2 linked regions of the Schizosaccharomyces pombe genome follow. The protein of the gene in region 1 interacts with the protein of each later gene in a pairwise test. Each region holds a gene or a part of one and is shown on either strand. Other genes may lie near its edges.

Evidence for each region.
Region 2: the proteins of SPOM_SPBC14F5.10C (region 1) and mug70 interact in a two-hybrid assay, tested with the Schizosaccharomyces pombe proteins (one large-scale study listed by BioGRID).

What each region holds. Positions count from the first base shown.
Region 1 is NC_003423.3:4,174,972-4,180,114, forward strand, and holds SPOM_SPBC14F5.10C (ubiquitin-protein ligase E3), read right to left. Parts: upstream 3,088-5,143; 5' UTR 2,742-3,087; coding exon 1,281-2,741; 3' UTR 501-1,280; downstream 1-500. Other genes in the region: adenylosuccinate lyase Ade8, read right to left, coding at 1-476; sorting nexin Snx41, read right to left, coding at 3,639-5,111.
Region 2 is NC_003424.3:3,044,526-3,049,360, forward strand, and holds mug70 (protein mug70), read right to left. Parts: upstream 2,862-4,835; 5' UTR 2,789-2,861; coding exon 596-2,788; 3' UTR 539-595; downstream 1-538. Other genes in the region: protein Med9, read left to right, coding at 1-191; aco1 (aconitate hydratase), read right to left, coding at 3,884-4,835. UniProt on the Schizosaccharomyces pombe protein: Has a role in meiosis.

The sequences.
Region 1 (5,143 bases):
GGTTGATAATGTGTAAACCCAAGAGTAGGAATGTCTTTGTATCGCAAAGACCACTGGCTAAGACGATTGATAACGTTGACTAACTTAGGGATCAAAAGATCCATGGCGCTGCGTAAGAAAATCAAGTCAGCATTATCGGTTACAAAACAGCTAGTAGCACCCAAATGAATAATACCAGAAGCAGCAGGAGCAGCAAGACCATATGTATAGATGTGAGCCATAACATCGTGTCTCTGACGCTTCTCTTCCTTAGCAGCGATTTCAAATTCTGGAGCTGTAATTTTGACATGCGCTTTAAGTTGCTCAATAGCTTCATCAGTAATTTGAGTTAAACCGAGTTGCTTTTCAGCAATGGCGAGATTCAACCACAATTGTCTCCAAGTATTAATACGCATTTCTCTTGAAAAGAGATGAGACATTTCAGCAGAAGCATATCTTGCTGTCAATGGTGTACTATATGAACCATAATCCTCCATATTCGATAATCTTAAGCTCGCCAAAAAATTTCTACCTGTTGTGGTGAATGGACAGTGAGGAACCAACACTAAGTAGTGCTCTACAAATGCTCCACCTTGAGAAGACCATCAGATTTATTATTTTGTAATTTCCATATTAATTAGTTAACGCGCATGAAAAATCAAACGATAATTTATTGTGCCTCCATGCTTCATATGTAGTATTCACCTAACCCACCAAGCAAATCAATTGAAGATCAAGTATAGAGGAGTAAAGGTGCCTTTCCACATATGTTAGCAATATTACAAAAGGGGTTATAAATTTACTTTAACCAATGCCTAAGTAAGAAAAAGACAGAGACCACTTCGTCAATTGAAACTTGTATTCTTAAACTAGTGAATATGAAATGTGAACTAGTAAGAGCAGAAAATTAATTTCTCTATAATGCCAAAATCTACTTCATCAGCAGATAACGAAAACCAAAATTATTTTGGATTATACTATTAAAATATCTTCACAGTGAAAAAGTAATAAACAAAAAACCATCAAGAAAAATAAATATTAAAAGTTGCAAACATCAACTATTAAATAAAGTGTGAAACAAAAAGAGAATTCTTGCTGTATTGGCATGGGTGTTTTTAAATTGGTCAAAGAAATATTCATGACAATCAACCCCAGATATTCTCAGATGCCAAGAATTAAGTGCTCATTTGTATAGGGTAATTAGATGTATTTTGATCGTTTTCGAGATAACCTTTCAGTAAATCAAAGGCTATATTTTATGGCCCATACAAAGGGCGCGCGACTTCAACTACAATTAAAACTCAAGCAATGGTGCAAGCACTTCCAACACGATACCACCAACTTTCTTGAAGTTGAGTTAACCAAATAAGAACCAAAACCAGTCGATCGGTCGGGTTGTCAACTTGCAAAATGCGAGTTTTCTCAAGCTCTGAGATAGGAAGAAGATTGGTGATTTTGTAAGACAAGTCAGCAATTGACTGTCTAGCCTCCATTTTTATATCGATTAAAGGTACAACCCAATGAACATATGTTCGGCGGGCATTCATGTAAAAAGCATCTATTCTTTCAACTAATTCTTCATTACTTAGATTACCATACATTAATAGATATTCAGGCTCAGGAAATTGGAGTGGAGTGGCTCTCAAAGGAGTATCATAGTGCTTTTCAATTTTCACTCTCGGAAACAAACCATCAGCTCGAAAATCGATTATACGAACACAATATGAACCACGGGCTTCTACAAGACTTCTCCCATCGATCAAAGGCTCGACTTGGATAATTTCTAAAATTGTACCATACTCAGAACAAAAAAGACGTTGACCACGAGCATTTCGAAGCTCTCGATGCTCATTATGACCATCACTTCGTGCTCTTAAAGGCATTGCAATACAAAATCGCTTAGAAGTCTCCAGACATTTTTTGATCATGATGTGGTATCGCAGTTCAAAAATATGAAGGAATGTCGGCATTCTGGGATATGCAAGCATGCTAATAAATAACGGAAGCCAACTTTCCTGTTCCTTTTCTTCTTCCCATGATTTTTGACGTTCTAACCAATTATCTGGGTAAAAATCTCGCAAAAATGTGGTAATAGAGTGGCTTTTCGCATGTTCCAACACAACAGGAGATGGGAGCCCAAAACGACAAGTCGGGCATTGAGGAGACTGGGTTAGTGCTTGCATAAGGCAAGGGCCACAAAATGTATGTCCACATGGAGAAACAACTGGGTCATAAAGCATGCCAAAACAAATTTGACATTCCAATTCTCGAGAAACATTCTCTTGTAATAGGTCCTCCATATGTAAAAATTCAGCTACTGCAGTCTCATAAGAAGATGAGGAAGGTATTAAGTTATGAAAAGTGGGAGGCAGCAGAGTAATTTCAGTCAATGCAGAAGTACAAGGTGGTGACGAAGAAAGACAATCGTCATGACAAATTTCCTCCTTTAATTCCAGCGGTACCAAACTCTGCTGAGAAATTTGAAACTCTGTAGTTTTAATCAATTCAACCACTTTGGAAATGATCACATCTTTCACTTCGGTCTCTACAGAATAATGCGGTTTCTTATGGTTGTAAAAGCAACATCTTGAGGGACTAACTTTTCCAGAGCTTTCCGAAGAATATGCGTTTCGAAAGCATTTCCGACAGACTGTTCCTCCACAAGGAAGTGTGACAGGCCAGTCAGGCAAACAATTACAGCCCGGACAAATAAAGTAAGACCTTATTTTATTAAATAATACTCCTGGCCTTTCTTTTCTCATTTTTAATCGCTCGTAAAACTAATTCAGATGTCGATTGCTAATGTCAAGTAATTTTACACTCGTTAATTCCATGGATGACTCCAGAGAATACTAGAAACTTAAAAATATTGTTTTTTTTTTTTTAAGAAAGAATATGAACCTTCTTCAATTATTTCAGTCGAAAAAGGAAAACCTCATTAATTCATGAAATTACTGATGACATATCTTCATCACGCACAAACACTTGCTGTAGCTATCTATAAAATAAAGACTTATTAACAATTCTTAAAAGGATTTATTCCTTTAATTTATGTTAATAAAGCAATTCACAACAGAAAGACAAAGTGATGCTGTGTTGTAAACGGATGACAGCATAAATATGGTGACATTATATATATATATACATAATATAACGTTACATCCGTGTGAATTGCTAACATGATGATGGAAAAGTAAAAAAGACGAATATTGCAATTAAAAAGCTTTAATAATTAAAATAAATTAATAACTTTAATTGATAAAAGTACAGGAAGTAATTACCAGTTTATTATGGTGAAACGGCAAACAATTGTATACCGATATATTACATACTGATCGACATGTGACTCTTACTTTCAGTACAAATTTAAGATGATGGTCAATTAAGAAGATAGGCGTTCATATATTTCATTACAAATAATCATAAAAAAAACAGATTCATGAAGAAAAACCAAGCAAGGTGCTAATCAACCTGAAAGACAAGGCAATCTCAATGGCACGTTTATAAAAGGGTACCGGAATTCTCTAACCTTAGTAGGTCAAGCCTGAATGAAGTAAAACACCTAGGGGTAGAATATGCAGAATAGGAAGAAAAGCATGAAAGCAAATATTCAAACATTGTATTGAAAAAGAAACCCAACCAAATCTAGGACCAATAAATTATGATACATATGTTTTCAATGATTCTTGTACGGAATTCCAGATTCGCAAGTTCCGGTTGGCCCAATCTATATGACTATCGGTCAAACGGTTTAAAATTCTGTTTAAATCCTGACGATGCGTGTCTTGGTAGCGCTGGAACTCAAAGTTTACTCTGTCAGTTACAAATGCGACATCCTTAGTGGTAATCAAGAGCATGTCCGTAAGATGGGTAACGCTTTCTGCGGTCCTACCGATGTTGTTGTGTCGCGATACTTCCACATTATTATCAGTTAGACCATTCAATACAAAACGTATTCTATCAAATACATCACGAATCGTGCGCGGTAAAACAGTAACTGACGTCAAAGAGGTATCTTGTGATACTGTTTCAAAATCTTGACTTTGATTGTGCCGTAAATCCCGCAAACACTCTTCCGTTTGCTCTCCATTTCCATCATGATAGTTTTCCAAGGGCTGATCGGTTCCCATCAAGGGAACCGACGGCTCTTTTGATTCTTCATCATTAAATAGGGGATCTTCTTCGGGAATAGTTGAACGAGAAGTTTGAGCGTTATTTACACCCAAAGTAGCTTCCGATTCCCTATTGAGTATTACGTCCCCATCTACCTCACCAATAGCCTGTTGTAGACGAGCAGCATGTCTCTCCCTGCGCTCCAAAAGATGAAGAAAGCTCTTTTTTCTTGTGAGAAGCTCTTCGACCATTACCTGTTGAATAAACTTCATCTTTCTAAAGATAAAAATGTGACGCATATTTTTGGCGTCTTTTGAAAGCTCCTGAAGCGGTTCTATTACCGCGATTACAAAGTTGTGCATAAAGTCAATACTAGCAAGACATGTGTGATCATTTGCTTGTCCAACCTTTTCCAGTGCTGTCAAAAGCTTTCCCGACTCGGATAACGAAAGAGCGTTAAACATTGCCCCCAAAGTAGAGTGTGCGAGGCAATACTTAGAGTTTGATAAAACAATTTGATTAAATAAATTGGATTCCTCTTGTGCTACTATTGAATACTGCTGTAGCGTATCTTCAAGCATAAGAAAATTTTTCCCAACATCGTCATAATTGTCACGAGGTACAAGGGTTTTAGAGGGAATAGGCAGCTCCTTGTATAACTCAGCATTCTCTTTAGAAGAAGGATCAGCTGGTGGGGCTTTCAATAAATCCTTTGGGAGACAACTAATAGGAGGACTATGCAATACTTCCTTCCAAGATACATGTCGACTAAGAAATTTTCGAAAAACTTCTGAAAGGCCCAGAATAGGGTGTTGTGCTACCCTTCTCAAAAATAATTGTAATAATCTCTTTCTTTCTTCGAGCATACGAGACATTCGTTGGTTTTTGGTGACGTTTATCAAGTAATCCATGATTTTATGTTTATCAGGTAATGGAGGAACCAAGCAAGTAGGATACAGGCGGCTAAGTTGTACGCGCAAAGAAGCAAATTCTGAATATCGATGGTGTATTTCTGAGTCCTAAAAACCGTTAGTAATCAAACATTTCAATA
Region 2 (4,835 bases), on another chromosome or scaffold:
AGGTTTCAAAAATGGAACCTGAGGAAATGACAGTGAAAGAAAAAAAATCTATCATCGAAATTCTCAAAGCCCGCATTGCTTTGAAAAAGGCTTTTCTAAAGATGGCATTATCTGAAAGCAATGATACCGTAGTTAAAAAAGAGGACGTAAGGGAAAGTCCTGTTGATACTTTTATGGAGAACGCAACCTGATGTTCGAGAGCATCAATTTAATCTCTATAAGGTACTTCTTCAACTCCAAAATATCGCGTCTACGTTGATGAAGTGAAAGCTATTCGAACTCAGCGTTTGTGATTCACTATCAATCTATTGAATATCTTAAAATATCTCGACGCTCTTAAAATTTGATACTCAGCCTTTAATTGACTAATTTGTAAGTTGCATAAAAATAATCCTTGTCGCCTTTTGGTAGTGCGTTCTCAATTAACACTTCTACAAACAGTAGGTTTGATAAAGAGTCCTCTTTAAACCTTACAATATAATTTACCATTGATACTTTTAAAAATAAATCAATAATTAAAATTACTAATGGATCTACACATTTTCTTTAAACACACATTTATCTTGTATCTCGTTTTGTATTAGCTATAATGCGATTATCTTTTGCGTCTCAGGTACCACATAGACACTGCTAAAATTACAATAGAACTAGAAACAATGCCAATGTAAATGGGTTTTTTGCTGTTTCCTTTATCAGCTTTTGCAGTGGGTTGATGAATATCGACAATGCTGTTTGCTACGCCTTTCTCTACAACGGAGGCAGATCCAATGCTGCTATCAACTGTAGAAATTGGTGGATGTGAGCTTTCCAAATGATTGGTAAAAGCAGCCACACCTCTCACTTCTAGACGTGGTAATCCTCTCCGGCGCGCTAAAAGAATAGCTTCGCGCAAGTCAGAATCACTAACTAATTCGACTACATCGCCCTCATCATCGATATAAGTTAAAGTGACAAGTTGTTCTTTTTCTCTTTCTTCCACTGCGGTACGAAGATCGCTTACCGAATTTATGCCATCAAGGCGTAAACGATGCACACGGCCTGCGATGGAACGGTACTTGATGGTAAATTGCGATGGACTTTGAGGATTTAACGGGAAAATTTGGGAAGCAGAGTCGGTGGGTTGAACAAGATCTTGTAGTGCTTGCTCCACAAAGGAAGGATTGCCGTGGTATTGAGGTAAGGATCCAACGTATGAAGGAGCTAATTGAGATGCACTGTTATACGGTTGTAGATATGGTGATGCTGCAAAACTATTTGAGCCATTTTCAGGTGTATCCATAGGCTTTTGACTAACACTTGGATGAAAAGATTGTTCTGACATTGCAGTAGGTGGATTGTTGGAGAAATTATAATCATTTTCAACGCCAACATATTCTTGGGGCTTGTTGTTAGAAGAGAGATTTTCGTTTTGCCAAGCTTGTACTGGTGGCTTGGGCAATTGTCTTGCAGAATATTCATAAGTGCTTTCGCTTTGTTGTGTATTTGATGGAAGAGGATTTAGAGGCAAGGGGGGATTTACATCATAATTTTCAACAACTTCATTTGAATTTCCTAATAGCTGCTGTTGTTGATCTTCAAAACCATTTGAAGGTTCAATACCGGCATCATTTTCTGCTTGATCGAAAACTTCTTCTTCTTCTTCTGGAGTTTGCTCGATTGCAGTTGCGAGATGGAATAAGGAAAGCATACCTATTATGGCATCACTTTCGTCAACGACAGGAAGGTTACTAAATTTACCTTCGATCATGCGCTCAAGAGCCGTGCTTACACGAAGGGAAGCCAAAGCACAATCTGGATGGGGAGTCATGACGCGTATGACAGAGCTGCGATATGGGTCAAGGCCAGCTGCTAGCACACGCAAAACTACGTCGTGAGCGGTAAATACACCAGATACGGCTCCATTGTCCATTACCAAAACAGCAGAAACGCCAGACCTAGCCATAGACTCGGTCGCTTCGGCAACAGTAGTGCGAGTACCTACAAGAAAGGGCTCTTCTGAAGAATCAATGAGAGACATAATTTCAAGCCCTGATGCTTTCTTTTTTAAGGATTCGACATATTCAAGAAACTCAGCAGCATGATTACCAGAGACTGAGGAAGAATTGGTATTACCAGATACCGATTTATTTTCTATTTCCTCTTGAGCACCTTCAAGGGCTTCCACTAATTTTTGTGCGGCTTCCTGTTGTCTAGCTATGCGATTGAGAGGTTCACGTAAACAAGCCCGCATGTTGATTATGCCGATTACATCGCCTTCGTCTCCAGCCGAACCATCAGGACCACCATCGCTGACTACAGGTAAATGTCGAAATTTGTGTTCAATCATTAATAGCAAAGCGTCATCAAAACGTGTATCACTGGTAATACACAAAGGACTTGTACTCATTATATCGGCGATCAATGTCTGCCTAGCATTCAGACCTGCACCGACACATCGGGTTGCTATATCCGTAGCTGTTACAATTCCTGCAAGTTGCTCATCGTCGTCCACAACGAGTACGCAATTTTGGCGTTTGGCTGCCATCAATTGCGCTGTTTCAGTAACCAGACTTTGCATGTGAACCGTCAATGCTGGATCTAAGGCAGCACTATCTACCGTTCCAGGCTCTCCATTTCTTCTTATCTTTCTAACTGGAGACTCAAAATTTCCTGACTTTTTACCCAATTCAGATATGATTTTCTTTCTCAGCGCCTCGTCCCTTTGATATTGGCGTTTCCGTGTATCTGATACGTGTGAAGCGGTATCAGACGCTGTTGATGACACTACCGAAAGTGTACCAACCGTCATATTCACCTTGTTTGAAGCTTAAAAGAAGGATATTATTGTTTACAGCTGCAAGCAAGAGAAAGAACTATATGTCAACGAGTACTAAACAAACCCTGTGTTTATTTACATTCGTTAACCCATTTTGCATGTTTATTCGTATTACTTAGTATTACGCTATTTTTTTACGAAATGCTAAGTAATGTCGAAGACGTTGAAAATGAAGGTAAATATTATATACGTACGATTCAACACCTTTTTTAAGTGTATATAATTAAGTTACATTGTTAAATGGGTACAAGTGAAAAAGAAAACAACGTGAAGTAATAATACCAACACATAAATTTAGCTCGCTTTCTGTGTTTCTTTTGGTGGATTGAAAAAAATCGACACCAGCAGGATTTGAACCTGCGCGCGGAGACCGCAACAGATTTCTAGTCTGTCCCTTTAACCACTCAGGCATAGTGTCTAAGTTGCTTTAACTCATTTTATCACCATATATAACCTGTATGTTGATTGTAAACTGTTTCTCATAAATAATCCCTAGTCTTTAATTACAGTTACAACAATACATTGAACTTTTGCAAAACATTAGGGTAAATCGTTTGTTTCTCAACAGATGTCCTTTGACACCGTTGAAACCCGCAAGACTGTAGTTTGCTCTATCAAACAACATATGCCATAATGGTACTATTGAAAATTCAATACACCTTGACTTTATTTATCATGTACCACCTCAATTATTGTAGCACTACGACTTTACTGCTCATTTTTTTCATTACTAGTTAAGGAACACTAAGTTTTAGCTGAGCAACTTTTGAATTCATTGTATCAAAATCAAACAAAGAACTAAATTTCCATCATCATGCGGTCTCATTTCGTAACTTTATTTATTTATTAATTTATTAGTTAGGATCATTGTCTTTCATCTTTTTAAAAAAGTTCATTTCCTAAATCCTGCTTTTCAAACCAGCTATGAGTAAATACATATAACGACGTTCTTTAATGACACAGCGACAACGCTTTCAAATAGACATTACCATAATCATCACGACCTGTCATACAAAAAAGGAACCTTAAAACCTCTCATCGTTACAAACCGGAAGGCTTATAAGTCCTTTACTTTTGCTTGTGCATGTTTGCCATGTGATTCAAAGCACTACCGGCCTTGAACCATTCAATTTGATCCTTGTTAAAGGTATGGTTAAGTTTGGTAGACCACTCAGCAGATCCATCAGCAGGGTGAACAACCAAAGTTAAAGGCTTACCGGGAGCAAAGGTAGTGAGACCATCGATATCGACGGTGTCGAAAGGAGAAATCTTGTCATAAGCTGCGGGATCGGCAAAAGTCAAAGGCAACAAACCTTGCTTTTTAAGATTGGTTTCGTGGATACGGGCAAAAGATTTGGTGATAACAGCGGCGCCTCCCAAATAACGAGGTTCGAGAGCAGCATGCTCACGAGAAGATCCTTCACCAAAATTTTGTTCACCCAAGGTAACCCAACGGATTCCATGATCACGATAATCAATAGCAACGTTGGGGACAGTCTTGTATTCACCGGTGAGTTGATCCTTCAACTTATTTGCTTCACCGTTTTCAGCATTAATAGCACCAATCATATAGTTATTAGAAATGTTTTGAAGATGTCCACGGTACTTCAACCAAGGACCAGCGGCAGAGATATGATCAGTAGTACACTTGCCCTTAGCCTTGATAAGGATTTTCAAACCCTTCATATCCTTTCCATCCCATTTCTTGAAGGGAGTAAGGCGTTGTAAACGCTTCGAATGAGGATCAATGGCGACATCCTTGACATTGACCGAGCTAGGTGCAACATAAGTGTTGCTTCCTGGGTCGTAACCCTTGGAAGGAAGACCAGCACCGGTAGGAGGTTCAAACTTAAAGTCGTTTCCATCCTTATCTTTCAAAGTATCAGTAAGAGGGTTAAAGTTCATGTCACCAGAGAAAACCATGGCAGTAACAATATCGGGGGAGGTTACAAAAGCATGAGTGGCAGGGTTAGCATCGTTACGACCAGTGAAGTTACGGTTGTAAGAGGTGACGATTGAG